2 linked regions of the Lytechinus pictus genome follow. The protein of the gene in region 1 purifies or fractionates together with the protein of each later gene. This does not show direct contact. Links are inferred from orthologs where the notes say so. Each region holds a gene or a part of one and is shown on either strand. Other genes may lie near its edges.

Region 1 (16,540 bases):
TACTGTGAGACAAAATTAGCTTCCTTACAAATTTAGTCAATCAATCAAAATGCTGCCAATTTAAAAAAGAAAAATGAGTATTACCCTTTTTACACAGGATTTTCTTAACCCCGGACTATCGCTAACCCCGTACTATCCTTAACCCCGTACTATTTTTTTTCCTTTTCACACATGCCAAATTGTTATTGCTAACCCCGGATAAGGAATGCTTGCTTTTCACACACGAAACTCGCTAACCCCGGACTAGTGGTAGCTCATGAATATTCACGAGCGCACTGAGGGGTCATTCGGGTCATATCCAAAATCACGCGCGCTTTAAATACATTTGTCGATCATTCAAGTACTTCACTCGGAATTTCTCATCGCCGTGTTCGCTATTCATGAATATTCATTATGCTTACCTCTGATTGGACAACAGGGCCGGCTCTGTTGCGGGGCATGAATGGGAGCACTTAGCCCACTTACGTTTTACACTAGCGATCTTAACCCCGTACTTTCGCTCTTAGCACCGCAATTGCTGGGATAACCCTGCTTTTTTGCAGGACCAAATAATCCCGTACTAAAGGTGGGGTTAGCCCACTTTGCAAAAATGCTGTGTAAAAAGAAAGTGGGCTAAACTTACTATAGGTAGGGCTAAATAACAATTTAGCCCCACCTATAGTACGGGGTTAAGGAAATTTTAGCGTGTGTAAAAAGGGTATTTATGTCTTTGAAGGAAAGTGATGTTGATTGGCCAGAAATGATAAAGTGGTCCCCAGCTGTGAAGGTGTATACTTAAATACTAGTCATCAATCAATATCAAATAAGAAACATACAACTATAATTCAATCAAGCTATGAGTAATCATTGTAGGTAAGCATAGCAGTCAGTTGTTGTTTTATGAATAAAAGGAAATAACAAATTTAATCAGGCTAGAGATGCTAATATATTTGACTAGTAACACTTTAAAATGAGTATTTTTTTAAATTGTCAAATTCTAATACATTTCTTTTAATTTTTTAAGTTTTGTTTTGTTTTATTCATTGTATACCAGTAACGCTGAACTAAATAAATATCTCAAAACAATAGGCACATTGTATGTACCCTGATGTTACCAGTGAAGCTGTTAGTTTGATGCTTTCAAGGAATGAGGTCTTCATTAATACCTTCTCTTGATCTAGTTTGATATGTTGCAAATAGGGGAAATATAAAAAAAATGTGTTCTCTGTGACGCTTCATATCGTACGATTCAATCAGTTACCCCCCCCCCCTGCATTTTGCCTTAAGAATTGTTTTGCTCATTTTGATTTTTATCGCTCTTTAAACCTACAATTCTATATGATGGAGGACAAATCATTGGTGGTCATCTGAACGGTCGTATTACACATACGATATAGCAAACCCATTTCAGAGAAAATATACTTCAAAGTTTGCTATAATTTTCACATTTTGTTCCCCAGCCTTACAACATTTCCATTGCTACATGTAGAAAAGTACATGGTTGGAAAGACCAAGACAATTGTTTGACAATGGTATCTTTATTTAAAACCAAGAATCAGAGAACATATATCGCAAAAGAGCTACATGCTTGCAACAAAGTGCAAATACGAAGGTTTTGCTGACCACGCATATTTTGCATATTCAATGTGCGCGGATGTTGTTTGCTTTACTACGGTACAAATTTCCAATGGGATTTACGATTTTTATAACAAATTTCTATGGCATCGCCGTGAAAATCCCCAGATATCTCAGAAAATGTTTAATAAATCGCTGCCTAGATATTTAATTAGGTATAGAATAGGACTTGTAATTTAATTTTCTGCAAAAATCTCAAAATCATTTTCTCAAACCAAAATTGACTGAAAAGACGGTTTGGATGAACGCCGATGAAATATATGATGATACATGATTCTCTCCCTCACTCCCTGTCCCTCTCTCCCTTTCTCTCTCCCCCCACCCTTGTTCGAACATGTTCTTTCCATATTATCTGTATTTCTCTCCCTGCATCTATTTCATCTGAGTAGCTCCATCCATTAAGGTATACATGTCTATCTCATCTTATATTCTGAAGAAAGGCCCCAGGCTTGATATGAATGATATTTATAGCTCTTATCATGGTTATAGCACTGCCCTTATGAATAATTGATCAACTCACCCATCATTTCTGCTCCATTTCCACCCCAAGCATCCCTACGCAGTGACCAGTGACCAACTCTGTCATCAAGGTGTATCGGTCAATTGACCAGTTCGGAATCCACTTTGGCAGTTATGGCCACTTTAAAGATTCAAAGAATGGCTTTGATTTTTCAGATTTCAACAACCTGCTACTACAATTATAAGTGGATTACTATTCAAAATTGTTGAAGACAGGAATGTCCATTAAGGAACATCTCTTCTGAATCGTTATCAAGTTTTCACTGATATGCAGTTTGAAATAGAAGAACATTAGCTAACAGCTAACACAGTCTGTACAAACCAAGACTTAATTCAGAAAAAAATAATAAACAAGCTTTAGTTATATGTTTGACACGCCCTGCTTCTACTTGACTATGAGGAGTTGAGGTGATTGTATTAGTACTAATTTCCTGAAGGTACAGTCCCAAAGGAAATAGTTTTAACGCAGATACCAAAATCCTTTGAAAATGTTAGATGGTGTCTGAAACAAACATACCCCTCATTTCTTTGTGATAGCTACCTCAACAGCATGCTGATTTAGTTAAAGAGAGAACAATAAAACGAATGCAATACCAAAAAGTTATCAATGTAAATCAGTTGTAAATTGATGACCGACATTAGCCAAGTAGAGAAGAATTAGCCAAAGAACTACTATCAATATTTATCCTTCAAAATTATTCGGAAGGCAAATGGTACAAGGTTTAACATTTACTTACCACTGATTAGAAAGTGAGATCAGTATGATATTCCAGGGGAGCAACATGACTTTTCATTTGCAGTAGAGTTTTGCAAGTCACTGCTTGGATTTCTCCACAAGGCACTTCTGAAAAATACTTCAAATAAAAACAAATTTACTCAATTACATTACTCTGGTGATGATAAATAGGGGGGGAGGGTGCATTCTATTCCAATCATGTCAGTTATGACCATAAGAAAAAAAGATAATTGATTCCTGAATATTATAGTCCAATGGTCCACCCTCAGAATAATTGTCTTTTTAGATCAGTATCTATATAATAACAAAAATCTTGCTGTGCAGGATACAATGAGTAAATTAATGTTGAGTGTGGTTTGAATTAAACATTACTTTGCTGCTACATTATCTCTTCAATCAAGAAGTTGTGCTTCAAAAATTGAGTGACAGCTTTTTTACGAGAGTTAGCTCTTATCTCCAGGGAACATTGGTGAGGGTTAGGGGAGATGGTATTGTGCCTGTCTGATAGCTACACATTAGCAGTACATTAGCTTCACATGATTGCCATCAACCCATCTATTCATCACAACATTATGACTTCATGACTGTGAATGTTAATGAGATGGTTAAATGAAACTTCTCGCTTGTAAAATCAATGTGTTTGTATGCAAGGCCATGTGTGCCTATTTCCTGGTGTTTCAATCAATGTGGTAATTTCTTACTTGTTTAAAATTCTGCAACTAATATAGTAAAAAAGAGTGTTCTTCATTGCTTTAGATATACAGTCCATGAAGACATGCAGAGAAAATATCATCAAGGTTTATACTTTTATTGAAATAGATCCCATTTCTGGAGCAATATGGTTTAAAACTTAGAAAACTATCACTGAAAACTAGCAAAGTAAATGTCCAAAAGTTTACTGTGGCTTAGTTGTCTTTAAATACAATGCTTAGGGATCTACTTTCAATAATCATTCCCATTGGTTTATCTATATAACGAAGGTGAGGAGTGAGGAATAGTGATGGAAAGATGCTTATGGGATTCCTGTGCGAAAGAAGAGACTCTAACTTTTTATTAGCTGCCTTATACCTCAGACACATTTGCTCTACGGCAGCCGTACGATGAGTTGAAAACAACAGTTTTAACATTTTTTATAATAGCTACATATAGGTGGTTTGAATAAAAATGAATAAAAAGTATTAGGGTGTGTTCAATGTTGATTTTCAAATTTAAACGGCAGCATGAATCATGTTTGAAAACTCAAATTACGAAACACAGAACACAAACACAATCAGCGGTGCAGGGTTCATTGTCGAAAATATAGCTGATTATTTGTTGACCATCTTTAAATTGCCCACTTTGTTAGCGCAGCTTAAGTGCAGTTTGACCCATCACAGTAAAGGCAAATTCTGGCAACTATTTGTGTAGGCTTCCACTGTGAGAGCAAATTTAAAGATGTTTCAGTGTTGCATTCACGATGGTGAAGGTCGTAAAATCTATAGCTGATCGCATTTACAAATGCGTCTTTTCGACGTTTAAATTTTCCTCCAAATTATGATTTGAGAGACGTTTACTTTTACGACTGGGAATGGAGGAAATTGAACACACCCTTTGTTTCTCATTATATCCGCTTTTTGTAATCACGTTTTTGATCATGATTCATGTTGCCATTTAGATTTAGAAACAGACATTGAACACACCCTTAATGGCAATGCTTGTGTATCAGCAATAATAATAATATGTGCTTATATAGCGCTTAACATTCACTTTATTATGAGAAGTCTCCATTAAAAACGCTCTACGGTAATGCAGCATGATTACCCTTGCTTTAGCAGAGCAACTGTTGCATTTCAAGGATTAAATTCCCACCAGGTAACCATTCACCTCACCTGGGTTGAGTGCAGCACAATGTGGATAAATTTCTTGCAATGTGAGATGATTGTTGTGAAGAATTGCAGAAGATGGGCTCTAAATGGTATAACCCACTGGGTGAGAAGTGTGATTGAGATTCATATATTCACTCATGAATGATTCAGTTTTACACCTTTCATTCTGCCTTTCGTTGATTTATCGTAACCTTCATGGTTGACACGATGGCATAATGAACGCATCGTTGCTTAAAAGCCGACCCAAATATTGATTTCTCCTTGCACCACTGACGAAACTCTGGGGATCGATGAAACTGTGAATGAATGAAAACTCAAACAGGATTCGCCTTTTGGTGAGATGGTCTTGAATTCTGATTAAATTTTGAATTCATTAAAGTCACTGACTAGTTCAAATCCTCATTTTCCATTCCTCTTTTTTATCCTGCTCCATTTAATCTTTTCTTGTAGTTCTATTCACTATTTTCCCATAGTCAATAATATGTTTTCATGTTTATTTCCATCATGCTGCAAAAGATATTAAGTAATAAAGTGTTTAAAAAATAGACAGGGTTATAAACAACACCACAAGAGTAAAAGATAGAGAAAGAGCTGTTGAAGAGAGGTTCATCGAAAACAAACCGGACAGAATAGAGAGGAGCAAGATGAGAGAGATACCAATGTGGAACTTTCAAACATGGTTGATCTCTGTAAAATGGATTAGTCTTTGGGCATGCTGTCCTATCATATTGCAGGTTGCCATGTAATCGTCATACTTTTTTCATATACTTCTAAGAAGAAGATGGAAAAGAATGGTACAAGAGAAAGGGTGTGATTAAGTAATTGAAGAGGTGCCCACAGGTTTTTGGGAGAGGATGTTGTTCCTTGGGGAATACTGGTCTTTGAGCTTGAGGACTGCTTCTTTCGTGACGAGAATGGAAAATGAAAGGTTGAGGAGGAGGGGAATAGATGATGAGTGGAAGGGTAAACCTACAGGTGGTAGTTTCGGCACACGGGTCACATGATCACACCCATGTCTCGTCACCTTCAATGGCCCCTCCAGCATTGTTTTCTCATGTAAGAGCTATAGTGTCGCCAGCATGACTCACGTAAGCTCAGGTTATTATGAATATTCATGATGAAGCCTATTTTTGACCAGTTTGTAAGCTTTGTACAGTTGCCAATCAAGAGGTTAGTCTTTATTCATCATAGACCATGCATTTATGACTGAACAATTAAATGATGTAATTTCTGCTAGAAGGAGCTGTAATTCATTGAATCTTTACTCCAGTCCAGATTCAGCTTTTAATGAGAAGGTGGCAAATGGGCACACTAGCAGGAACATCTGTGTTCCTATGAGCAAACTCATGTGTATATATTGTAGCTTGAAATGATCTTATTTGCTGATGCTGATGACAAAGAAAATAAATAAATACACCCTAAAACAAGAAGTATTAATAAACAATTTGAACCAACCTCCTTAATTGCATTTTGTAGTTGATTAACTCAGATAAGAAGTTTATATTCATATTTATTTTGCCGTCTATTCCTTTGTCAGCTGGTATTATTTTCACATTGTGAATTGTATCCATATTTCCTCCATCCTCCCCTCCCACGTTTGCTTCATTTCTCCCACCATCATGTCATCATCTCTTCTACTCTTCATCTTCTGTAACGGTCTCACAGGCCTAATTCATTCCCCATAGACTCGTGTGTTAAATTGGCACTTTAAAAAATTCATAAAAAATAAGGATGAAATTCGAGGGTCGAATGTTTACTACCAGTGGATAGGATATATATCTGGCAATCCATATCTGACCAGAAAAGGGTCCCTCGACCGGCTCATTTTAAAAATAAATTGGCGTGTTTGAAGACACCATCGGGGGGAGCAGATTCATCACCTCAAACAGCAAAATAGCCCTAATCCTTCCGCCAGTCAAAATATAGTCCAAAATTGATGATATTTCTTCCCAATTTGGGAAAAGGAAGTTCAGTAATTACCAAAAATAGAATCAGTGTTAGATGGACAATCATATGCATACACTTTGTCAATCAGCCATATCAAAATAAAAAAAATAGCAATGGGTTGGCTCGAATGAATATCTCTTGCTTTCCCAATGTTAATAGGCCCGTGAGGCCTGTAATGTATGGCACATGAATGTTTCTTTTTAATTTACCTTCCTGGCTCTTCTTTAACATCTGTACACTCACTTTATCACAAAGAAATGCATGAAATATACAGATGTGTTATGTAATTACCAATTCTAATGTTACTCCTAATGTCTAGTGCCCTATGGATTTATACACATCCTACCTGCCTATATGTAGCTCAACAATGGATGCAATGTAGGGCCCAAATCCTATAATACAAATTGTAGATATGAATAGTGTGCATATCTGGATGCAAGATCTGCCCACAATATAAATACCAGATTCACATGAGTTAAATTAGATAACAATAAAAAGAAATGGGAATCAACATACAAGCATACTAATGCATTCACATCTTCCTATGACAAGGGCCCAAGGGGTGTCAGAGAGACAGGGAGAGAGGGGGGTTAGATGGCTTGTATTCTAAATGGATGGGGGCTAGTCTGGCTAGAAGTCAGTAAAAGTTGAACAAGATAGCAGTAGCACTCATTCTCAGCCCCCCCCCAAACATACTAACTATGCTTTTCTCTACCCCCCCCCTCCCTATTGAATCCACCACTCTTCAGTCAAATTCTAAAGTTTCCTCTTCTCCTTCCCTTCCCCATGGACCAATTTCACAAGTGCAATTGATGCAAGGCCTATCTAATGTGTACTATATCTTGTGATGGGTGCTATACACAATTTACAGCAGCACTCGTCGGTATACGAAAACACACGACAACATGTAACGCAGAGACAAACACCCAGCCTACACAGCCTAGCCTAGGTACACAAACACAGAGTTACTAATACAAATTTGTTACCTGTTATACCCCCTGTAGCCTTGTATATAGCCATGAAGTTGAGTTTTGGGACCTCTTGATGATTGAAACATGTATACTAGTGAAAGCAATCTGCTACTGAAGAGTTTGGGCAGGTATTTCATCAACTAGGGAATTCCCCTTGTAATAGGCTATGGTCAAGGTTAGAGGTCTCACAGGCCTAATTCATTCCCCATAGACTCGTGTGTTAAATTGGCACTTTAAAAAATTCATAAAAAATAAGGATGAAATTCGGGGGTCGAATGTTTACTACCAGTGGATAGGATATATATCTGGCAATCCATATCTGACCAGAAAAGGGTCCCTCGACCGGCTCATTTTAAAAATAAATTGGCGTGTTTGAAGACACCGTCGGGGGGAGCAGATTCATCACCTCAAACAGCAAAATAGCCCTAATCCTTCCGCCAGTCAAAATATAGTCCAAAATTGATGATATTTCTTCCCAATTTGGGAAAAGGAAGTTCAGTAATTACCAAAAATAGAATCAGTGTTAGATGGACAATCATATGCATACACTTTGTCAATCAGCCATATCAAAATAAAAAAAATAGCAATGGGTTGGCTCGAATGAATATCTCTTGCTTTCCCAATGTTAATAGGCCCGTGAGGCCTGTAACTGGTGGAATACATCCATGATCAAACCATGATGAGAATTGTTGCAGGATCATTGAATTCTAGCCTTGAGCTAGGTATAGATTGAACCCGTTAGTAATGCCTTCCCAAGTTCTCATTATCCATTGATGAATAACCTAAATCCTTTAAATGAGATACCTCCATCTTTGTGTCATTTGTAATCTATGTCAGGATCCTTCCAATTTCTTAGCATTTACAGCAATGCAATTTTTTTCTGTTGTTGAATATGTGTATTATGATGAGAGTTTTTACACTTATTGTATTTGTAAATAATAAAATATTTTCTTTATTAAGGGAGAAATTTCATATATCTGCTTAAAGTAAATGTTTGAATGAAAGTGAGATAAATCACTTTTTTATATTTAATTTAATTACATTAGACTTAACGTTCCATTAAAAACACATTTACATATTGATTTTCTGGAGTCTATAACAGATAGATTAGATTAGATTGTGTTATTGGAGAGTTGTGTTCTCTTGGTTTTTCCAATCAATGAAGTTGATCACAATGTTCTATACTCTTTGATTGGGTGTTATCACTTAACATAAATTTAATCTAAAGTCACCTTACTCTTTGAAGTTTTTTTGTACAACCTGTATTGATTTTTGTTAAATTTTATTCTTACATCTATTTCCATATCTTTTATCCAGGAATAGAATGGGAGAAAGCCCGTAAAATACAAGAAAAGATGAAGAAAAACCTTACGATGGCAAAGGAAAGATTGAACATCTTAATAAGTAAGTAGAACTCATGATTAATGCGTTTGTGTTAACCTGTTATGAAAAAAATTAAAGATAAAGAGATCAAAATTCAACATTTTCAAACCTTGTATATTTGCACAGTGCAGTAAACAACCTACCATTGAAGTTGGGAAGATCAATAATGCATCAGATCAGAAACCAAATCAATGAGATGGCTCTTTAAAAGTCTTGTTAATGCTACTAAAACCCTATGTATTATGTGACAGGATTATGTGATTTTATTAGCCTTGAGGGGTATGCTCACTTTCACCAGCAAGTGGAATATGATGTCATTAGACTACCAAGGAATAAGAATTCAAATAAAAACAAAACTACAGTCGAGTGAGATTTCCAGTAGCTTTTAATGGATAGACTGAAGTGTGTTGCCATTATGTTTCTGTGAAAGTGTGGCTTGCTGTAGGAAAGGTTTGAACTATCTTTGAGATTAGACATGTTTTGCTTATGATTATTTTCAAAAAGTCCTTCACCTAATCTTTTAATATTTTAAACATGTTCAAACTTGTTTTAAGTTAATAAAATTAATTTAATGAATCATTATCAACAAGAGTGATTTTTTTATTTTATCAGGTAGCAAATAGTGATGCCAAAAAGTTGCTTATTCGGTCAATTGTCTGCTCTGTATGACTCAATTAGATAGATGATTTACATGTATAGGGGTGATAAATCATCTTTTTTTACCCTTTAGTCCCATGTGTAGTGATTCATGATAGGGAGATTGTACTATCTCCATAACCAATCAGTTCAAGGTCCCACAGGTCAATTCCAATAAAGACCACAAGGTCTTGGTGATGATACTTTCTGACTTTCAATTTAAGGTCTTGATTGGCTTCATAGAAACAACGTTTTTTGAAGAAAAAAAATTAGTTCATATGTAAGGGGCCTATCAGATGTTCATACTCTATACCTTTCAATTCCTTCAATGTCTCCTAATTATTTTGGGCCAGTGGTATTTTGTACATGCATGTGAGTGATACTTTGACAAGTAGTTTAAAGTTTGGTAGGGAACCTTTTTTAATCAGCCTTATCCTGGAAAATTAAACACAAAAAATATTGGACCAAATTCAGGCGGAATTTAAATCTCCTTTGTGAACTCGGGCCACTATGTTGAATTACACTTTAAGAAGGTATTTTGCTCTTTATAGAGTTCTTCTCCCCATGTCTACATCTTATGAAGATAACATGTGTTGCATGCCAAGGATTAACAAGATTTAGATGTGCTATCATTATGCTGAAAAGGGAAACTCAAGGTCGTTAAGGTACTGATGTTGTGAGTCTTGTGACATACATTACTAATTATCAGATCAAAATTATCATGATTTTATTCACTCTAATTCTACATCTTATGATGATAGTAGGCACGGGCTGTTGGTAGCTTTATGTTTACAAGTAGTGAAGAATCATTGTTTAAATTGACATGTATGATGATTTCTTAACATGACTAATGAAATCAAAATAATTGTGAATAAAACACATGAAAAATTCTTAAAACATATTTGGTCAAGTAATGATAACTCACTGCAAAGGTGCACATTTTGTATTATTGGCATTCTATATCTTTTGGAAACAATACTGTACATGTATATAGTACATACATTAAAGCAAAATGACTGGATAGTGGATATATTGTCTTAGTCTGAACAAGATAGGGATTATCTACCAAATACCAATCTTTACTATAATTGTAATTTCTGAATTTATAATGCATAAGGATACAAAGCGTGTGGTGACCATTATGTAGTGTGCATGTTGAGCAGCAGAACATGAGAAAGTGTGGGAGAAAGGGAAAAGATCTCAAGAAAAGTTGCTGCAAGCTAATTGCATTTTTGTTTATCCTTTTGATTCACCCACTGTTTACCAGCCGTATTCTATCACTGCATGCCTTCTGATATTGCAACATTATCCTCCAAGCTTTCTTGTATTACACTACCCTGGCTGAATATGGATCCAAACATGGTTACTATGGCAACAAGTTATTACCACGCTGTATTCATTGTTCATGGTTGCAGACGATAAATGGTAGTGCGGGATGAACTTAAAGAGTGTTTGCAGTGAGATATAGATTGAAAGACAATAGATCTGTTACTGGATTGCCGGATGGTTAGGAGAAAGGGTATGATTCATCGCAGAAGAGTCATTACATCACAATAGACCTCTGGTAAATTGTAGTTTTGTATGAATATGGATGGTTGATTGGTCTTTATTGTATCCAAGGTAGATATCAACTTGGTTTGGTGGAAGCAGGATGATGTCATTTTACAATCTAGTTTGAAAAACTGGAATTATATTAAGAAATGATATAATGTCTTAGCTCTACAGAAAGAGTATAGGGAGGATAGGGAAGAGAGAAGAAGGGGGAGAGAGGGGAGGGGGAGAGAAGGAGGAGAAGAAAGGAAGCAAGGAAGCAGAAGTGCCCTTAAACTTCAGTCCTATACCATTATTTCTTTCTTTTTCATCAAGCAGGTATCATGGTATGTACTCGATTCTGACTTTGTGAAACATTAAATTTACACATTTCATTAATTTGTCATTGCATAAAAGAAAGTGTGTACATGTATGTGATAGAGTGAGAGAATGGGGTTTGAGTAGATGAATAAAAGGTATGAGAAGAGCTGAGTCAGCATGTCATCATATCAATAGCTTGGAAGTAGAAAGGAGGTAAGTCACTTCACAAGATAGACTACAAAAACCTTCTGTCTCTCACCAATGGTGTATCTTTCATGTAAATTTAGCAGAAACCTTTCAAAAGACATCGACGTTATTACATGTGTCTGTTGTATTTCAATGATGCACCCATGAAAATGTGAGGATTTCCCTCAATTTTATTCATGAAATCAAGAAGTTCCTTGTTGAAAGCCACACCAGGAAAATAACTGACTGAAATAGAACAAATATATAAAATGTTACATTATATGAAATACTGCTCAGTGCAATGACGGTTATATATTTTTTTGGGGTGTAGAGCTATGTTACTGGAATATTGTTAACATTGGAATACAATGATTGAGTAATTATAAAGTGAATCGACAGTCTACCCAAAAAATTATGAAATGAGTCATTACAAAAATGAAGCAAAATTATCTGTAAAAAGTTTAAACATGGAGTGAAGAAGCATCAAGTACAAATCCAGGATTAATGATTTATCGGATGACTTGGATTTTCCTTTTTACCAAAGAATATGAATTATAAAATAAAAAGTACGTGGATTATATTTCAGACCTACAACCTAAGAAGAAAAAAAAAAGAAACTAATTAATATTATAAGAATGATATGAGAGCATATATCTTTCCATTTATCAGAAAAATAGAAATTGTTTAAGTTCATACCTGATGAAAACCCAAGAAATTCGATACACTTGTATTATAACAGATTATGTGATGAAGTTAAAGCCACGTCCTTTGGGTATATACCTGTTCTTATAATGCCACTGTGTAATGTCATGTTACAAGAATGAGAATATGATTTTATTCATGATTCATCCGCGATAATGTCAATATCAATGCTGTTTCTCTGTTTGAAGATGGTAAGGATACATCCATGGGAGTTTGGTTAGAGTCTACATTAATACAAGTCATACTATGGCTGTGTCTATTTACAATGCTTTTAGTGTACCCCCATCCCTCAAGGTGTCACACACATAAAAGAAACTTTTATCAAAATGCTGTTTGATGGAACATGACATCATGAGGATGTGTGTCTCGATCAATGCAGGTGAACATTTTTAAAGAGCTGCATGTACCTGACTTACATTGATGAATCCAATTTTATATTTACAAAATCTTCATTCAAGAGATGATGTGGAAGAACTGTACTATTACTGTTCATCTTGGCAATCATCAGAGCCTTATATATTTTCATGATGAAATGTGAATCTATTTCTATCTTTCTACTTATACCTGAATGTCAATCAGAAAGTTTTGTAGTCTATTTAGTTATTCCATTATGAATAGGATATAGACAAGAAAGGGTTATGTATTAAAGCTATATCCAGTGAAATAAACTGGGTTAAATGACTGCACATTTTTTTGGGGGGGGATGCAAACCTTTACACTAAAATCAAATTAATGAATTAAGTTGACATTGAAATACAAAATAAAAGGAGTAAGTCTTTATTTATTTTTTAATCAAATTTTAATTTTCATGCAATAGATCAAATCAAACTAAGCTTTTCAATATTTCAATTATATTTAGTTATTAATCAAAAGCCATTGTCTGACAGCGCTTTGTTGATAAGCGAATATGTTGTAGGATCAAAGGATTAGTTGTTTATTCAATTTTTCAGAATAATTGGAAACTGGATGCATACATGTTGTATCTAGTACTACTGTTGGATAGCTTGAGGTACTGTATACATGTACAGGGATAATGAATTTTAAATGAGTAGCCTAACTGATGAATAGGGGTAGGCATATTGCTAAATTAACAAGTATCTTTGTTTGCATTTTGTATTCCAGGGTGAGCTGTTTGTATCATGCACCATGCATTAGATTTCATTCGTTTACCCCCCACCCCACCTCTGTGTGTCCATCTCTCTCTCTCTCTCTCTCTCACACACCCACGCACACACCCTCACACCCACACTCCCCTTCCACTTCCCCTTTACTTTTATGCTGTATTTTATTCTTTCTTTTCAATTTTAGGGGGTTCACAATTGAGGAAAAAGTAAAAGGCCACAAAAATATCAAAGGCCAATGTGAGGGTAATTATAAGGCCAATCAATACTGCATTCAACTCTATGACTTGGTGTCCTTCAATTAGATAGTCCTGACATGTTCCAATTTTGGAATTTTACCATCTCCTAACATGATGAGTATTCCTCTTGCTATCATTCTTTCTTATTCTTTTTCAATATTCCCTTACTGTCCTCTTCCGTTTCCATCTCCATATGTTTTCTAATTTCTCACATTATTCTCACCCTATACCCTCTTCAACTCTCCCTCAACTGTCCTTCAGCTAAACCTCCCCCCTTCACACTTTTACTCCCTATCTCATCTACTTTGATCTTTCTCCCTCCCTTTGTCATCCACCCCCTCAGAACAAATCCTCAACCAACTTCCCTCTCCCTTCTCCCGACCATCCTTCATTTTCTCTCCCCATCCCTCTTGCATCCCTTTAGCCCCCTCTCCTCCTCGTATCTTCTTCCATATCCTTCTCTCCATCTATCACCCCCCCTCCCCTTGCTCATCCTCTCTCACCCCCTGGGCTTTTCATACCCCAGTCTTCCCCAATCCCCAGTTTGCCATCTCCATCTTTTGAGTGAGTCACTCAAGCCTTCACTTGTTGACCAATATATCTCAGCTATAGACACAAGGGAATGATATTTCATTATTATCATATGAATTATTTAATTAGGTCGGGCGCAACTGTCAATTAAAATAGAGACAACTCAATCTTGGGTCAATGATTGCCGTAGGAATCTATGAAAACCTACTTAATGTCGTCAGGGTTGAAGAGAATCCGCCAAGCGATAAATATCTCGACCAAAAATCAGTGTGGTGGAATTTATATCCTCAAATATGATGCATACTTCTACTGTGTGGGAAATGAGGATGGAACATCTTATTATTTGATCAATTGAACTTAACAATAAAATACTGATTTACGTAGTCCCTTTTAGATCAATCTTGAAGGTGTACAATATGATAAGTTGCTGGTATTTATTTATTTTATTATCCGTACCTATATCCAGTTGTTTAAACTGTATTCATCGTCCAGTTCTTTGATATATTTGTCGAATTTATTTCCATATTTTAGTTCAAATTTACATTTGCTATCCATATACTAGTATTGAATTACATGTTAATTAGAACAGTACTATTCTTAACTTACAATTGTGAAGTCATAAAAATGTGAATCCAATAATTCTCTTAAAAAAATAAATTACATGAATTCACAGAACAGAATACTTTTCAATTTATTACCAAACATATTTTTGTAATAAATTTCAATTTGTCGAGCCCTTGGAAATTTAGTTACTGATGAGAGATGGGTATTGGCAATTTAGAATGAATGAAATTGAAGTAAGAATTTGAATACTGTTTTCAACTTGAAAACCTAAATATCCAATTTGTTTCAAATCATACTGACAAATCAATGCAGTAATACCGGGAGTGTGATCTCTTCTAAATCCTTCGCATGTTACCATCTTAGTGATTGACTATCACGCATGATTGATATTATTGATTGGCAGTTTATTTTTGTGTATCTTGATCTGGCTTGTTCTTCCTTTGAAGTGGTATGCATTAAAGGACATCTTGATTCTATTATTCCTTTGCATTTACTTTTAAAATTCAGATATGAGCCTTAATAATTTACAAGACAGAATAGAATATGAAATCTCTGCTTGTAGTACCAATAAGAAAAAAAAGTTCTATATTTCCTGCATTTTATTGCGATTTGTTGTTCAATTTTTCACTTAGTCAATTTAAAACAGGAGCCATTTTGTCATGTGTGACCCCCAAGCATTTTGGTTGTGCCAGTAACAAACAATAGTAATTTTAATAGTCTCATCTGCAGAGGTCAGCTTATATGCCTAGATACTCTAACATACGGGTATACACCCATAGCAGGCTTACTGAGTGGGAAGATGCATAATTTGAATACCCACTAATGAAGTGTTACAACCAATGATTCATACACTTGAAGTACAGTCATTAGCAGTTTGATTTACACCTACATGTATTCATTGAACATAATGAGTGTGTTTTCTACATTTGATAAATTTTTATGATAACTATAGTCTATTGCAAGAATGCATAAAATTCCTTTTTATAAATTACGATACTATTCCTGATTTGTTGAATCTTAGTGAATACAATTTGTTTAAAATGAAATATCAAATAAGATTGCTCAATTTTTTTAAACAAATTACAAAGAATACTTCCTATTCACATGTATGTTCAAATGACTAAAATGAAGCCTACATAGTCAGATTAGAGATTGGTGCATCCTCAGATTAAAATACTGAGAGAATTAGATGGAAGACTGATAAAGATTGAAATAAACATAATTAAATCAAATTTAATCATGATGAATTGCAAAATGATGATCATCGAGATAGGTTCTTCTCATTTGATATTACTCTGTTGAAACATGTTTCCCTTTCTTAAATTCAAAATATTCAAAGCAAAAAAAAAGGAAGAAATCATATATTTCCAGAATAGACAACATGTATACACTACTTTCAATAGAAATAGATGGGTATTTACACAGAGAAGCATTTTGAGGTACCCTCTTGAGATACCGTTGATGGGAGAAATAGAAGCAAAGGAGAGAACTGGGTCACCATCCAGTAGCTCTGAAGTCGCTGTCCTACTCTAAATGGCAATTTCTTGTGAATCTCATAACCATGAGTGCAGGTGGGTAAAGAGAGCTGTGGCATTCAGGAATGACCAGAGATATTGAAATTCATGTAAGAATTAAGGACCTATTTTGACTTTCATATGGACATGGCTGGCTTGAT
Region 2 (15,377 bases), about 3.3 Mb from region 1:
AATGATGACTATCTGAATCTAGCACGAGAAACGTGGAGGAACGTATCAAATATCAATATTATGTTCTTGCTTTCAAAATACAAAACGATTTAGCCACAGCCTATCTGGGACCACTTATCTGCAAACGTAATGTAACTTATAAAACACGATATTCTAAACAACGTCCCCTTCAAATACCATTATAAAAGAAAATCTTTTGAATATGTTGCTGCCGTCTTATTTAATTCGCTCCGTTGTGATATACAAAAATGCACGTCCCTCCATTATTAAAAAAACACTGTAAATCATAAAAATTCTGACTGTCATACATGTAATTAAATTGAATAACTTGATGTTGATGTAATGATTCCATGATAATTGTTGATTCACTCTATCTATATAATGTATGCTGTTTTTACTTTATTATGTTACATACATTGAATTGTTATGATGTTGAGTTATTTGTTAAACTGCAGCTAGGCGCCTTTGGAAAGCAGTTTTGCATACCTAAACAGGCCTACCCTGCAGTATCAAATAAAGAAAATCAATAAATAGATAAATGAATAAATATATAAATAAATAGATGACTGAATAAATAAATAAATATAGTTTTTGTCTCACCTGCATAGCAGAGTGAGACTATTGGCTCCGCTTTTCCGACGGCGGTGGCGGCGTCAACACCAAATCTTAACCGAAGGTTAAGTTTTTGAAATGACATCATAACTTATAAAGTGTATGGACCTGGTTCATGACACTTGGACATAAGGTTAATCAAGTATTACTGAACATCCTGCATGAGTTTCACGTCACATGACCAAGGTCAAAGGTCATTTAGGGTCAATGAACTTTGGCCAAATTGGGGGTATCTGTTGAATTACCATCATAACTTTGAAAGTTTATGGATCTGATTCCTGAAACTTGGACATAATAGTAATCAAGTATCACTGAACATCCTGTGTGCATTTCAGGTCACATGACCAAGGTCAAAGTTCAATGAACTTTGGCCAAATTGGGGGTATTTGTTGAATTACCATCATAACTTTGAAAGTATATTGGTCTAGTTCATAAAACCTGGACATAAGAGTAATCAAGTATCACTGAACATCCTGTGCAAGTTTCAGGTCACATGATTAAGGTCAACGGTCATATAGGGTCAATGAACTTTGGCCAAATTGGGGTATTTGTTGAATTACCATCATAACTTTGAAAGTATATTGGTCTAGTTCATAAAACTTGGACATAAGAGTAATCAAGTATCACTGAACATCCTGTGTGCATTTCAGGTCACATGACCAAGGTCAAAGTTCAATGAACTTTGGCCAAATTGGGGGTATTTGTTGAATTACCATCATAACTTTGAAAGTATATTGGTCTAGTTCATAAAACCTGGACATAAGAGTAATCAAGTATCACTGAATATCCTGTGCAAGTTTCAGGTCACATGATTAAGGTCAACGGTCATATAGGGTCAATGAACTTTGGCCAAATTGGGGGTATTTGTTGAATTACCATCATAACTTTGAAAGTATATTGGTCTAGTTCATAAAACTTGGACATAAGAGTAATCAAGTATCACTGAACATCCTGTGTGCATTTCAGGTCACATGACCAAGGTCAAAGGTCAATGAACTTTGGCCGTAAAGGGGGTATCTGTTGAATTACCATCATAACTTTGAAAGTTTATGGATCTGACTCATGAAACTTGGATATAAGAGTAATCAAGTATCACTGAACATCCTGTGCGAGTTTCAGGTCACATGACCAAGGTCAAAGGTCAATGGATATTGGCCATGTTGGGGATATTTGTTGAATTGCCATCATAACTCTGTAAGTATATTGGTCTAGTTCATAAAACTTGGACATAAGAGTAGTCAAGTATCACTGAACATCTCATGCGAGTTTCAGGTCACATGACCAAAGTCAAAGGTCATTTAAGGTCATTGAACTTTGGCCATTTTAGAGGTAATTATTAGATTGCTGTCATTACTTTCAAAGTTTATAGATATAGTGTATAACATGTGGATATAGGGGTAATCATGTATCACTGACAAGTTTTAGGTCACATGATCAAGGTCCAATGTCAATGAACGTAGTATTGTATCATTATATGAATGGTGTTTTTTGTGAATAATTATTTAAATTGTGTTTTTTAAAGTCAGCACTGCTGATGCAGGTGAGACCGCCAGAGGCATTCCACTTGTCTATCAGTTTGAATCTGTTCCACATGACAATTCACTTCTTTGGTGATTCAAGCTCTCCGTCGTAACAGAGTAAGTTACAATACATGACGATATTCAATATTTCATGCCTGGTTCCAATAAGTAATTTGACCCCCCCCCCAAAAAAAAAAAATGTCATACGATGTACAAAAGCAGTAGGGAATTTGTAACATTTTCCCATCGATAGACTCGGTCTTTGGATATTGTTATGCATCGACAGTTTACTTTAAAAGCTATCACTTCTCAGGGAAGGCTGTATCAATTTTTTTATTTTTTTATTTTGCTGTTACCCTCAAAATCTAAATTCAGGGGAGTAGCCGGGGGGCGGTGTGGGCGGTCACCCAAACCCCCTTAAAAATCCCCCCCCCCCAAAAAAAAGGAAAAGGGGTGAAAAGGTAAAAAATGTGAAGGGAGAAAAAATAATAAGGGTTTAGCTTTATTGGTTTTCTTCTTTATTTTTTTTTCTCAAAAGAATAAAAACCTGAACGAGACGTATTCTCTCTCTTAATTCATACAAAAAAAGTTTTGCTTACGCGCTCTGGTAAAATTACAAAATTGTCTTTCCCTGTTCTTAATTACACCCCTTTTCTACCCCGTTTTCCCCTCCCCAGTTATTTTACCGTACAGTATAAAAGTATACATTCGCGTACAGAATTACGTAGAAGCGGGTGTGTAAAGTATGAAAAGTTATCTTATTTATTTCAAATTGATGATTTGTGAGGTAAAGATAATTATGGCTATTTGATTTCCGCGCTACCGATCGGAGCGGGTAAACACCGTCACTCCCCATATGCTATTTCTTCCTCTATTTAGCAAGCAATTTTTGGCAGGTATCTGCTCGTAGGGGCAGGCATTAAATTTATACCATGCATGCTACATACAAAAATAATATATGCGATGAAACTTTATTCTATATCCCTGTACACCATCCCCTGTCTTGTTTGCGCCCTCAATTCACGTAATTTTAAATTTTGAATTGGAAGCACCATTATGAGCAAAATTATATATATATATACTGTTCGGTTTGTTGGGTTTTTTTTAAATATAAATCACAGAGAATTCCAAGCTTCGCGTGAGCCTGAAGCGCTTAACCATTGTGTACTCTGTTTTCTTCGTAATCAAGAGATACAATATCAGAAAAATCACTTGAATTAGACCAGGTGAAGGTGAAATTTCAGAACTTCAACGCTTTAGTCAAGTAACACCCCAACATAACCGTCAAGTTGGGTATGGCTACGATTTTTTTTGCTGGAAGTTGTAGTATAGAGTGTCTACTCCAAGAATCCGACGGGTGCCACCTGGGCACCCTTGGGCATTTTTTTTTTATTGACGTCATAGGCCACGCCCACTTTTTCACATACCTCTTATATATCATTTTCATATTTTACGGAATTAACATGTCATGTTTGGTATCAAATTAAAGTTTATGAAAAATCAAATGCAAATATATGGATTACTGTGTATTTAAATCACGCATAGGTCAGTTATAGGTCGCTTAAGGTCATAAATTGTCAAATTGCCTTACAAATATAAGTAAGACATGTAATGCGGAACATACCATGATTTAAATATAAACAAGTTAGGTATTATATGCATTTTTTTTGCAAAGGTTAAGTTTGAGAGTGTGAATATTAAGAATCCGATGGATGCTTCCTTGGCATCTTGAGGAATTTTATTTTTCTGACGTCATAAACCACACAAACTTTCAGTTACATTCCTCTTTAATATGACTTTTCTATTTAACGGAATAAACATATTATGTTTGAAATAACATTAAATAAAATGCAAAATAAAATCCACATAATATGAATTGCTACCCATTTAAAACGTGCCCAGGGCAATTAAAGGTCATTTAAGGTCATAAAAGGTCAAATTGGCTCACAAATGTAAGTAATGCAGCAAATAATGTGGAATATATCATGTTTGGAATACAAACAAGTTAGGCATTATTTATGTAGGTCTATTTTTGGCTGAAAGTTATGTTGAGGATGTGCAGATTAAGAATCTGACGAAGCTCGGCTGCTTTGGCAACCTTGGGCAACGTCATTGTCTGATGATATATTTTAATATCTAGCGTACAAAATGAAAATATCATGTTTGGTATCAAATTAAAGCTTATTGAAAATGGAATGTACATAAAGGTTACCCAAAAAATGAAGCACATGTAAAGGTGCCCTTTAAGTCATTTACACGCATGAAATGTTGATGATTGCTCGACTTTCACAGGACTTATACAAAACGTTTAATTTATCATTTTGTATCAAATCATTCCATGGGATTCCAAATAATCTACACCAATTTAACATCTTACACAATGTCCTGTTATATTCCTCTCACAACTACCCTCTGTACCATAATTCTTCGACCGGATGCTCATTATGATTCCCCTTCACCAACAACCTCAACTACATGCCTCTGCCAGATATGTGTTACTTTGATTCACACTTGCAGTATGAACTATGAAATACGTGATTCGACGGCCGACCAGCAACTGCATTAATCTTTAAAAGTTGTAGAACAGGGTGACGCTGACTTGTATCGACAAGGAGGTTCTTTTAATTCCTTGGGAACAACCACTGTGTCATGAACAAGTACGGAAGGTCCAATGCCCTGTTCCACTATCTTCTGAAGATGTAATGGCAATAGATGCATGTAAAAAAATTCTCTGACGACACTAACCTTTCTGTTCTACCAGTCTTCTCATTTTGGGCTTGCAAGTCTTTTGCATACTGATGGAAAAGTAATTGGCATTAAAGGTATTGCATTGAAGTTTAGAGGAAAATACTAGCCTTGCACGATTCCCTATCAGGTTGTAATACAATGTTGTGTCAATTTGGCAAGGGAAAGTTTTCCACTTTAAACTTGCTGCTCGAATAATATCTTAATATATAGAGTCCGATGCTGAAGAAGTGGACTGGATGAATTAAATGTGTAATATTCATACTCTTCATCTTGCTTTACTAATATAACAAATGTAATGGTCTCTCTAATATAATTCACATGATTTAGCAAGAAGGCAGATGCTTCAAAGATCATAGGCCTACCCCCAACTGACAAGTCAGCAAAAGAGCATGATTATCAAAGGTGCTCTTCCTCAGGAGCTTGATCAGGAGAGCAACTGATCAGAATTACTCCCCTGCAAATTGCCTCCCATGCATCGATGGGAAGTATAAGTTAGGAGAACACTCCTGTACCTGTTCATAGCACATTAGTTACTCCCAAGGAATAATTATCAGAACTTGTTCCATGTGGATTTAAATCGGGGCCACCATGCTCTAGGGTAAGCATTTGCCTCTTATCGTGTATCGTACAGATCGTATGTAAATAACATTGTGTCATTCTAAACACAAGGAAAACTGAACATGCAGTTGAGACTAAAGAGGGGGAAATCAGTCTGGAAGATGAATGAGAGAACAACATGATAGTGGAGTTAGGAGGATGTAAAATGTCAAATTTGTCCAATTGGATACTTGTCTAAAATGTGAATTTGTGTTGAAGAAGTCATTTTCTGAGGTGTCTCCAACACGATTGATCTTAAACTGGAAATTGTGTGTTATACATTATTTACTGTTACTGTATATGATTCTGTCCTTGATTATAAACTAAAAAAAAACACTGTGCAGTTTTATTTCATGTAGGAAAATTGGTGATACGATGCCAAGCTTATGTTACATGTTTTTATTAAACTCTTGTTACATTGCCTGACATCATTTGACCTACCTAAACATTACTGCACTTTTGGTGATCTTGTCTTGTATTTAATCTCTTTTAACTTTTATAATTGCATTTTACTTGCCATAAGCTTAAATTAGTTAGCAAACACGTTAGGTTTATTCTATAAAGTGTCACTTTCTGTCATAATCATGATAATTACTCATAGGCCATATATATGTGAAAAGTGGGCGTGGTTCGTGACGTCAGATATAAAAATTGCCAAAGGGTGAGCAGGTAGAACTCGTCACATCCTTAATATACACACCCTCAACCAAACATGAGATATTCCACATTATATGTTGCATTTATTACGTTTGTGGCCCAGTTTGACCTTTTATAACCTTAAAATGACCTTTAATTGTCCTGGAAAAGTTTTAAATGCCTAGTCATTCATATATATGTGGATTTTATTTTGAATTTGATTTAATTTTATATCAAACATGATGTTTATTCCGCTGAGAGGAATGTAAGAAAGCTGGTGTGGTTTATGACGTCACAAACTTAAAATTCCTCAAGATGCCAAAGTAGCACCGGTCGGATTCTTGATATGCACACCCTCAACTTAACCTTTGCCAATAGATTCACATAATATCCAACTTGATTGTATTTAAAACATAATATATTCCACATTATATGTACTTCTTACATTTGCAAGGCAATTTGACCTGTTAAGACCTTAAATGACCTTTAACTGACCTATGCGTGATCTAATTGTCCAATGATCCATAAATGTTACATTTGATTTTTCATTAGCTTTAATTTTTTATACCAAACATGTTTATTCCTTAAAATATGAAATTCATATTTAAGAGGTATGTGAAAAAGTGGGCGTGGCCTATGACGTCAATAACAAAAAAATGCCCAAGGGTTCCCAGGTGGCACCCGTCGGATTCTTGAAGTAGACACCCCATACCGGGCCCCATACTACAACTTCAAGCAAAAAAATCGCAGTCATACCCAACTTGACGGTCATACAATAATGTTGATCAAATCTACCCGACTATTATGTCAAAATCTATCACAAAATAGGATTTTTGTAACAAAAATGTCGAAATTTTTGCTCGATCACAATGAATTTTACCGTAGGCCTATATTAATCTGTATCTGGCCTCCTTAAAATCTTTGGCTCATTACATCATCGTTCTCTTTAATGTATTTTTTTAAGTTCAGAGAGGGGAGTTTGTGATCGATGTGATGAGCTAACAATTTTGAGCCGGGGCTAGACATGGCCTATGGGACATTTTTATTTTCAAGCCAGCAAGCAAAATATTTGACCTCTTAATAAAAAAAAAAATCTAATTTTGTGATAAATTTTAACATGATTTGAATATTATATACACCTTTCCCTTTCAGTATCATTATCATTGTTAATGCTACTTTTCATCATTGATGTTGTTGTTATGAATATGATATTGATGATAGGCCTAATCATTGAAAAAAATATACAATATGAGCCCTATAAACATTACAAGAAAAAAGAAATTGATTGTTATATACGATAATAATCACTACCATCATAAATGTTCTACCGTGCATTATTGGGAGATGATTAAGCAGGTAATGCCCCTTTTAATTAGGGGGATATCCCTCCCCCTTGGATCGATACAACTTGGGATTTATTTCGGATAAAGGAAAATATATAAGACAATTTGTGAATGACATAATTCGTATGTGATCTATATCCCTCGCATATTCACGCGGCGGCGACGCGGGTAATTTGGTGAAATTGGAAACTGGGACTGGTCAGGGAATCGACGCCAATCATGCAGAGCTTTCAAGTTATTGAAGAAACACCGCAGTACTGTGTTGAAACGTTTGGACCATCGCTTCCTGTCCTAATAACAGAAGTACTTTTACAAGCTGATCGTAAGTGTTAATTTTTATTTTTGTTTAATTCGTCAATACAAAGTGCAATACAAGTGAATGTGTTGTACGGTACCATCTATTGAAATCTGTGTAGGCCTACCGGTTTTCATTAAAACCTTATCGGAACGTGAGGTCTGGATCTTGATTAACGTTAGATTGATAAGTATAATAACTGAGACAACGATAATAATAATTGTTATTATAATAATTATAATTTTAATAATACTAATTATGATTAATAATTATTGAGACAACCATATTAAAATAGGGTGTCTGGAGAAAAAATTATTTTTCTTATTTCAAGAAAATATCACATTTTCTTTGTGAATTTGAAGAGAAATGACCTTCAGACTGACAGAAATGTAACATTTTTGAAAAAAATCCAATTATTGGCTGCAAAAAAGAAGAATGAAATTGGGTAAGTTTTCAGCATTTCTCTGCCATAGACTGTGTAGTTAAGAAATGGACACACACAAATCCAAATTTTTAGCTTCCGAGAGCTGTTATAAGTTTATTATTAATGCCAAAAACTTGTCCATAGTGAGTCCAATAGGATTTTTTATGCTCTATCTGATGGTATGATTTTTATAAAGATTTGGAAACCAGATCACAATGAAAAATTGGGACAAAGTGAAACAAATCGTGCAAAACAGAAATTTCATTTTCCCATAGAAAACGCATGGAGAAATGGCAATCTCAACACACACAAAAATAAGGGTTTGCAATTTATCTCTAAATATCCTTATTTAAAATGATCATATAAACTTGTCCTTACTATCAAAAGAAGCCCCTGAATTTTCTCTTTCCATACATGCCAAACACAAGTTAATAATCAATTCAGATCACATTTTTCTAGTAGCCTGAACTTCCCCCCCAAAATGTGCCATATTTTCCCCTAAATTAGCCTGTTTTATGCTGACACTTTTCAGTGTGGCTTCAGACACCCTAATTAAAATAATGTTAGTGAGACACTTTCTTTGACTTGTCTTTGACTGAGGCTGAGCTGAGTCTGAAGTGAGACAACAAATTCACCTAGGCCTATAGGTATGTTGCAAAAAAAAAAAAAAAAAAAAGAAGAGAAATGAGGTGTTTGCTTCATAGCATCATTTAGAGCTGATCAAGAACTTTCATTTAATACCTCATTCATTTCAAGAGCCCCAGTAACAAGAAAGTTATGGTAGTTTTAAGTTCGCACAAATCGACTCTTCAATTTGTTTTTAAAAACAAAAGTTGTGATCTTAATTGGGACCAAGGTGCACTAATATAATAGAAAACAACAATGCGCATACATTGGCAAATGGAAGTGCCCAACAACACTCCCAAAAATTACAGACATCGCCGAAACAGGGACATAAAAAACACACTTAGCGTCAGCAGATTTCTTTCAAATTTCACCACAATGTAGTTGAAATGTTGTTCTATCGGAATGAATACCTGTTAGAGTGGGATGATACCTGTAATTGAATAGCAAGAGGTTGAAAGCAAGGCCAAAGTTCCAGTAGCACACAGAGCTGCAAGATCACCGAGTGAGATTTTTGTTCAAGTCTAGACAGCTGCCATAAACATTCAACTACGTAAAAACAATAATGTCATTGGGAATAACCTTTTCTTGCACATGCAAACACAATACAAAGCAATGCCCCCCCCCCCCAGTCACCCTGAGATTATAGGCAGCACACTCAATGCCGCATTCAGAATGCACCTAGAGGTAGGGCGCTTTTGCAACATACCTACAACAAAAAATTTATGAATATTTAGAATTAAGTTAGACTAGATCTAACCTAACGTCCATGCGCAGTGAGTCGCCATTGGCAATAATCGGCGATCTTCAACCTTCAATTTTGCACCAAAAAAAATTCTTACCCAAATCGTCGCCCGAGAAAAATGGCAGCTAAAATTCGCACCGTACGGATCCAGTTTGCAAGTCTGACTTTGACTGCGCTAGGGCTAGGACTAAAACCCGAGTACCCGGGTCTCGCCCGGAAGCCTCGGGTACCCGGGTAGAAAAATCAATACCCGAAAATTGCTTACCAGTATTTGATTTGTATTGCGTAGTGTAAGACATGATTGTAACTCATCACAAAAGTACACAAGTCTCATTTTGAATCTCACCAATTACCCTCGAAATATCCATAAATATACAAGTTTTTCAAGTGATGATGTGACTGAGATCGTTCGATCGTCGCCATGTTTCTTTTGCAGCTTGAGCATACGAAGCGCCAGCCAACCACGTTCGTGTTACTATTTTCAGTTCATCATAAACTGGAAATAAGGTTTATCGCTAATCAGAATTGCAATGCATCATGGGATCGAAAAGGGGACCGTTAGCTAGCTCTGCACGTGCGCAGAGCTTGCTAACGGCCCCCTTTTCGATCCCATGATGCATTGCGGTTCTGATTAACGATATACCTTATGGTAACACGATCGTGATTGGCTGGCGCATTCGGCGCTCCAAAACTACCCGGAAATCAATTGACTCTGTGCATGTAGCGATAGATTCTACAAACTCACGAACACGATGTAATATCGACGCTACTTCGTAAGATTTTGACGGAAAAGCAAGAAGTAATCAAAATTTGCTTACCTGTGTGGTATCGGTGAGAAAACAGATCCTCTGAGAAAATATTTCATAAATAATATGAAATATAGGAAAGTAGAATTCTAGGTCGATTTTGGTACGAAGTGACAAAGTATTGCAGACTTGTTTTGATGGAATAATGCGTGGGGCACGGGAGGCTTGCACTGCGCATGCTTACTATATTTTCATTCATAAGTTTGCTTGCGGCGCAGTGGCTGGATGACGTCACCTATGGGGTTTTTCCACCAGTCATATTTCATGCGACATGATTTTCGGGTACCCGCCCGAAAATTACCACGGGTACCCGAAGACAAAAATACCCGAAAGTCCCAGGCCTAGACTGCGCTAAACTCCTGTTTCTTTTGCTGGATCTTTTAACCAAACGTTGCAGCATTTCAGGGAATTACTGAGGATTAATGTCAGATGCCACAAGACACTTTTCAACATTGCAAATAATTTCTAGAACCATTTTGGTCAGAAAGTGACAGGTGAGTGGCGCAACAATAAAAAATTGCACATGGTGACTCACTGCGCATGGACGTTATAGATCTGATCATGACGGTTATCAATCATAATTAAAATAATTATTGAGACAACAATGATAATAATGAGACAATAATGATAATGAGACAATAATAATATTGTTTTTATTGAGACAACAATAATAACTTCTTTTTTTTATTTGATAGCATTTATTCCATTCATCATAAAAACAAATACAAGGTACATACAAAGTTTACATAAATTACATGGGAAAATTGCAAATATTACAATGATAAAATCTGGGAAACAGTTGAATTAAAAGAAAAGATTGTACATGATTTATAAATGAATGAGGAGGCAACTAGAAAGGGAAAGCCTTATTAGCGCTGCCACCTTTACAGAATCTGGAAACTGAATATATATATGATATTGTAAAATACATGATGTAATAAATACTGAATACCAGATATAAACATTGAACATAAAAGGGGAAAATACAAATTATAACATTAAAAAACTATAATGATTATGAAGAGGATCTGACTTCAATACCAAGTATTCAGAAGAAGACTCGGACAGAGCTGACAGAGATTGAATTCAGGGAACAAGACATAGAAGAGATACTGTCCAAGCTTGGACATTAATAAGTCTCCTGGCCCAGATGGAATCAGCTCCAGAGTATTAAGAGAAGTTTATAAGGAGATAACTAGTACATCATTTAAGATAATCTTTACGAATCTGATGGAAGAGGGTACTGTTCCTGAGTGATGGAGTCAAGCTTAGCCAGGAGGTTCCTGGAGATTAATGTCATATCACTGACGTGCTTAATCTCCACGGAGCCAGGGATGGGATGCCATTGCTCTATGCGCACCAAGTATTTTGGCAACAACAAAGTTGTTGCCAAAATACTTGTTTTCTTAAGGGTTTTGAGCCCAAACTTATGTAAATGGGCTACAATACAATTTAGACCCTTTTTTAAACTAAAGGGTCATATTGTAAAATAATATTTATTATCAAAAAATTGAAAATATTTAAAGTAGAGGAGCGTTTACTCACAGTCTGTTATTGTCGCCATCTTGCCATCTTTGTTATAGCCTAGCTATAAGACGCGTATAGAGGGCGATAATATCATGAGCAGTGCCCAAAAAATACTTGCATCGGCCGATAAATATCATGAATCGTAAAATACTTGCATCGGCCGATAAATATCATAAAGATCTTGAATGTTTTTAAATTTAGTACATTCCAGTATATATTTTGGAAAGGTGGTAAGCTGATTATATACACTATTATTTTCTCTTTATTATTGCGCCCCTTTTCGCCCATCAAAAGGGTGAATTAAGTAGTAATCGAATCTTGCGCTCCCCTTTCTCCATTGATGCTGTAGCTAAGCGTTGGTCGAACCTCCACCATTACGAGCCCAATGGCCGTCATTGGTCGATTGACGAAGGGGATACCGTGTAGCCAGACAAAGTCTTAGCGGAGCATATCCCTGACAGAAATAGACCTATATATCGGTCTAGATCTGGATGTGCACAGTGCATGTCATAAGTACGATGCGGGGGCGCATTTAGCCTAGAGGACTCTGATGATATTTTTATCATATTTGTCTTTTCATCACAGAGCCTAGACACTGGGGCTACAGACCTGCATGTCGTACATGGTAAACAATGACGGATTTCCCTTGAAAATCCATATTTACATGTACCACATTAATTTTGGGAAAAATAGAATTAACCTTGTACTGTATTCCACTTTAATCCATATAAAGGATTTAGAAAATATCAATAACAAAAGATGAAATTAAAAGGTTTCTTACCAGACAGACCTATCTCTTAATTGCAGCTACTAAATGTTCCCACGCTTTATAACACAATTGGCAGAACTCGCTTCCCATTGATGTAAGGACGGTGAACTACCGTTATGAGGCACTGTTTGTAACACAATTTTATACTCAATTTATTATTTAACAAATGATAATTATTTGCATCACATTTTAGTTGTGAATAATTATGTATAAAAAGTATTTTGAAAAAGGCACATGGTTAGCATGATTTTATGAAGTGACCTAAATCCCCTGTTTTTGTAAAAATTAGCAGTTTCTGAAATGCATACTTGTACTTCTTTTCAAATATTAAAAGAATAAAGTCAAATTTTGCATCTTATGAAAGGGTAGAATGTATGCTTTAAATTGGTGCAGGGTGCGACATAAGCGCTTGCCCGATTGCCCGGGGCAAGTAAAAGTTAGAGTCGGGCAAGTGTTTTGAAGCAAAGTCAAAAACTGATTGCCCGAATCGGGCAAGCAAAATTCTCCTATGGAAATTATATTTTACTTAGAAAGATTCCCCATGTTTCACCATCAAAATATAGAAAAGAAAAAGAGACACAAAAAAGGCAATATCATTAATTTTCTTCTTTCAAAAAGTCTTAAGTTTTGTGGCGTGGCGGTCCGTCGTCTGTCGTCAGTCACACAAAATGCTTCTTCTTTAATTGTTGACCGATCATGATTCGAATTGCAAAATTTGCGCCATTTTCTGCAATTAACACACAGCTCAGAGACGTACACACACACACAGAATCAATGACAGTCTAGCATACCTAGCTAGCTAGCGCCTAGTCCACGCAGCCGATGCACATGCATGTAGTTTCTACGGAGTACGATGCTGCACGAACGAAGTTTGCTCTGGAAGAAATCTCCTACAGAACTGTCAAATTCACATTTCTTACCAATAAAAAAATTCATGTAATGTCCATATTTCCTAAAAATTGGGGTAGCTCTGTCATTTGTAAGCAGTAAAAGGAGGATTTTCACTTCTGTTATGCTTCAAAAAGATTGGGTTTCGAATGATCGTCTGTATCGCACACACAGAAATACATTGTTTTGACAGTCCCACATATGCATTGTGTGTATGTTGATAAACGTGGTTTCTTTCGTAACTGTTTTTTTTTAGCCAAGGAAATTGATAAATTTTCTTCTTTATTTATGACTGGATAGTTTGAGCTTTCTTCCTCTCTATTTTCTTTCTTTCTGCCTATCTCTCCTTCTTTTCTTTTCAATCTTTCCTTTTGGATCTCTCTTTATTTCTTTAAATTTCCTTCCTTCTTTTGTTAATTTTTTCTGTTACTATAGCTGTCTTTCTTTTTGTCATTCTTTTCTTTCTATCTTTTTATCTTTCTTCCTTCCATTGATCCAACCTTTGTTTACCACTTTCTTTAATCCTTCCTTCTTTTTCCCCTTCCTTTCATTCTTTCTTACTGTCTTCCTTCCGTCCATCCATTCTTTACCTTTTCTTCCTGTCTTTTTTTCTTCCTAACTTTCTTCATTCCTTTCATTCTTTCTTTCTTTATTTCTTTCCTTCATTCCTTTCTTTCTTTCTGATTTTCTTTATATCTGTCTTTCGTTCTTTTGATCTTTCTTTTTTCCATCCATCCTTTCTTTTCTTCCTTATTTTTTCTTTCTGCCTTCCTTCATTCCTTCCTTCATTTCTTTCTGTCTTTCGTTCTATCTTTCTTTTCTTTCTTTCTTTTTTCCTTCCTTCCATCTATCCTTATACCTTTTCTTTCTTCCTTCTTTCCTTTCTCTCGTTTTCTTTCTTTCTCTTTTCCTTCCTTCCATCAGTCCTTAACCTTTTCTTTTTCTCTTCGTTTCTTCCTTTCTTTCTTTTTTTCTTCGTTCCTTTTTTTCCTTTCTTCCTTTCTCTTCCCCTCATTTTTTTTTCTCTCTATTTTTCTTTCTTTCCTTTTTTCTTTCTGATTTTCTTTTTTTGTCTTTCGTTCTTTTGATCTTTTTTTTTTCCATCCATCCTTTCTTTTCTTCCTTATTTTTTCGTTCTGCCTTCCTTCATCTCTTTCCTTCATTTCTTCCTTCATTTCTTTCTGTCTTTCATTTTATCTTTTTTTTTTTTTTTTTCCTTCCTTCCATCTATCCTTATACCTTTTCTTTCTTCCTTCTTTCCTTTCTCTCGTTTTATTTCTTTTCCTTCCTTCCATCAGTCCTTTACCTTTTCTTTTTCTCTTTTCTTTCTTTTTACCTTTTTTCTTTCTTTTTCTTTTTTTATTTGTTCCCTTCTTTCCTTCCCTTCTTTCTATCTCTTCCCCTCAGTTTTTTTTAATTTCTTTCTTTTTTCTTTCCATCCTTCTTTCTTCATTTCTTTCTTTCTTTCCATCTTTCTCATCCCCGCAGCCATTCTCTCTCTCTCTCTCTCTTTATTTCTTTTTTTTCTTTCTTCCTTTATTTCTTCGTCCTTTCTCTGGTTATTTTCAGTGATTTCCCCTTTTTTTATTGTGTATCCTAGTCCCCTCCAAAATATATGGAAAATGTATGAGATTAGGGAATTAATTAAAGAGCATATTGACCCTATATTTTGTCATGATGTTCAAGATAAAAATCATTAAAAAAAAAGAAATACAACTACAAGGTACATCAGTAGTCATGTTGAAAAATGTATTTTTAAAGCCTTTAACTTGTTTTGAAGCAATAAAACTTTGTTTTGAAGGATTTTTTCGGGCAAGTGAAATCTATATTCGGGCAAGTATTT

Evidence for each region.
Region 2: the proteins of spastin-like (region 1) and nuclear pore complex protein Nup133-like purify together in Homo sapiens (affinity purification with mass spectrometry; 3 studies listed by BioGRID and IntAct, counting the BioPlex papers as one, with this or other methods). This does not show direct contact. The link is inferred for Lytechinus pictus from reciprocal best matches to the Homo sapiens genes SPAST and NUP133.

Annotation. Positions count from the first base shown.
Region 1 is NC_087251.1:7,941,274-7,957,813, forward strand, and holds the start of spastin-like, read left to right. Parts: upstream 1-8,328; coding exon 8,329-8,374; intron 8,375-8,969; coding exon 8,970-9,056; intron 9,057-16,540. UniProt on the Homo sapiens protein: ATP-dependent microtubule severing protein that specifically recognizes and cuts microtubules that are polyglutamylated.
Region 2 is NC_087251.1:11,269,342-11,284,718, forward strand, and holds the start of nuclear pore complex protein Nup133-like, read left to right. Parts: upstream 1-7,675; coding exon 7,676-7,778; intron 7,779-15,377. UniProt on the Homo sapiens protein: Involved in poly(A)+ RNA transport. Involved in nephrogenesis.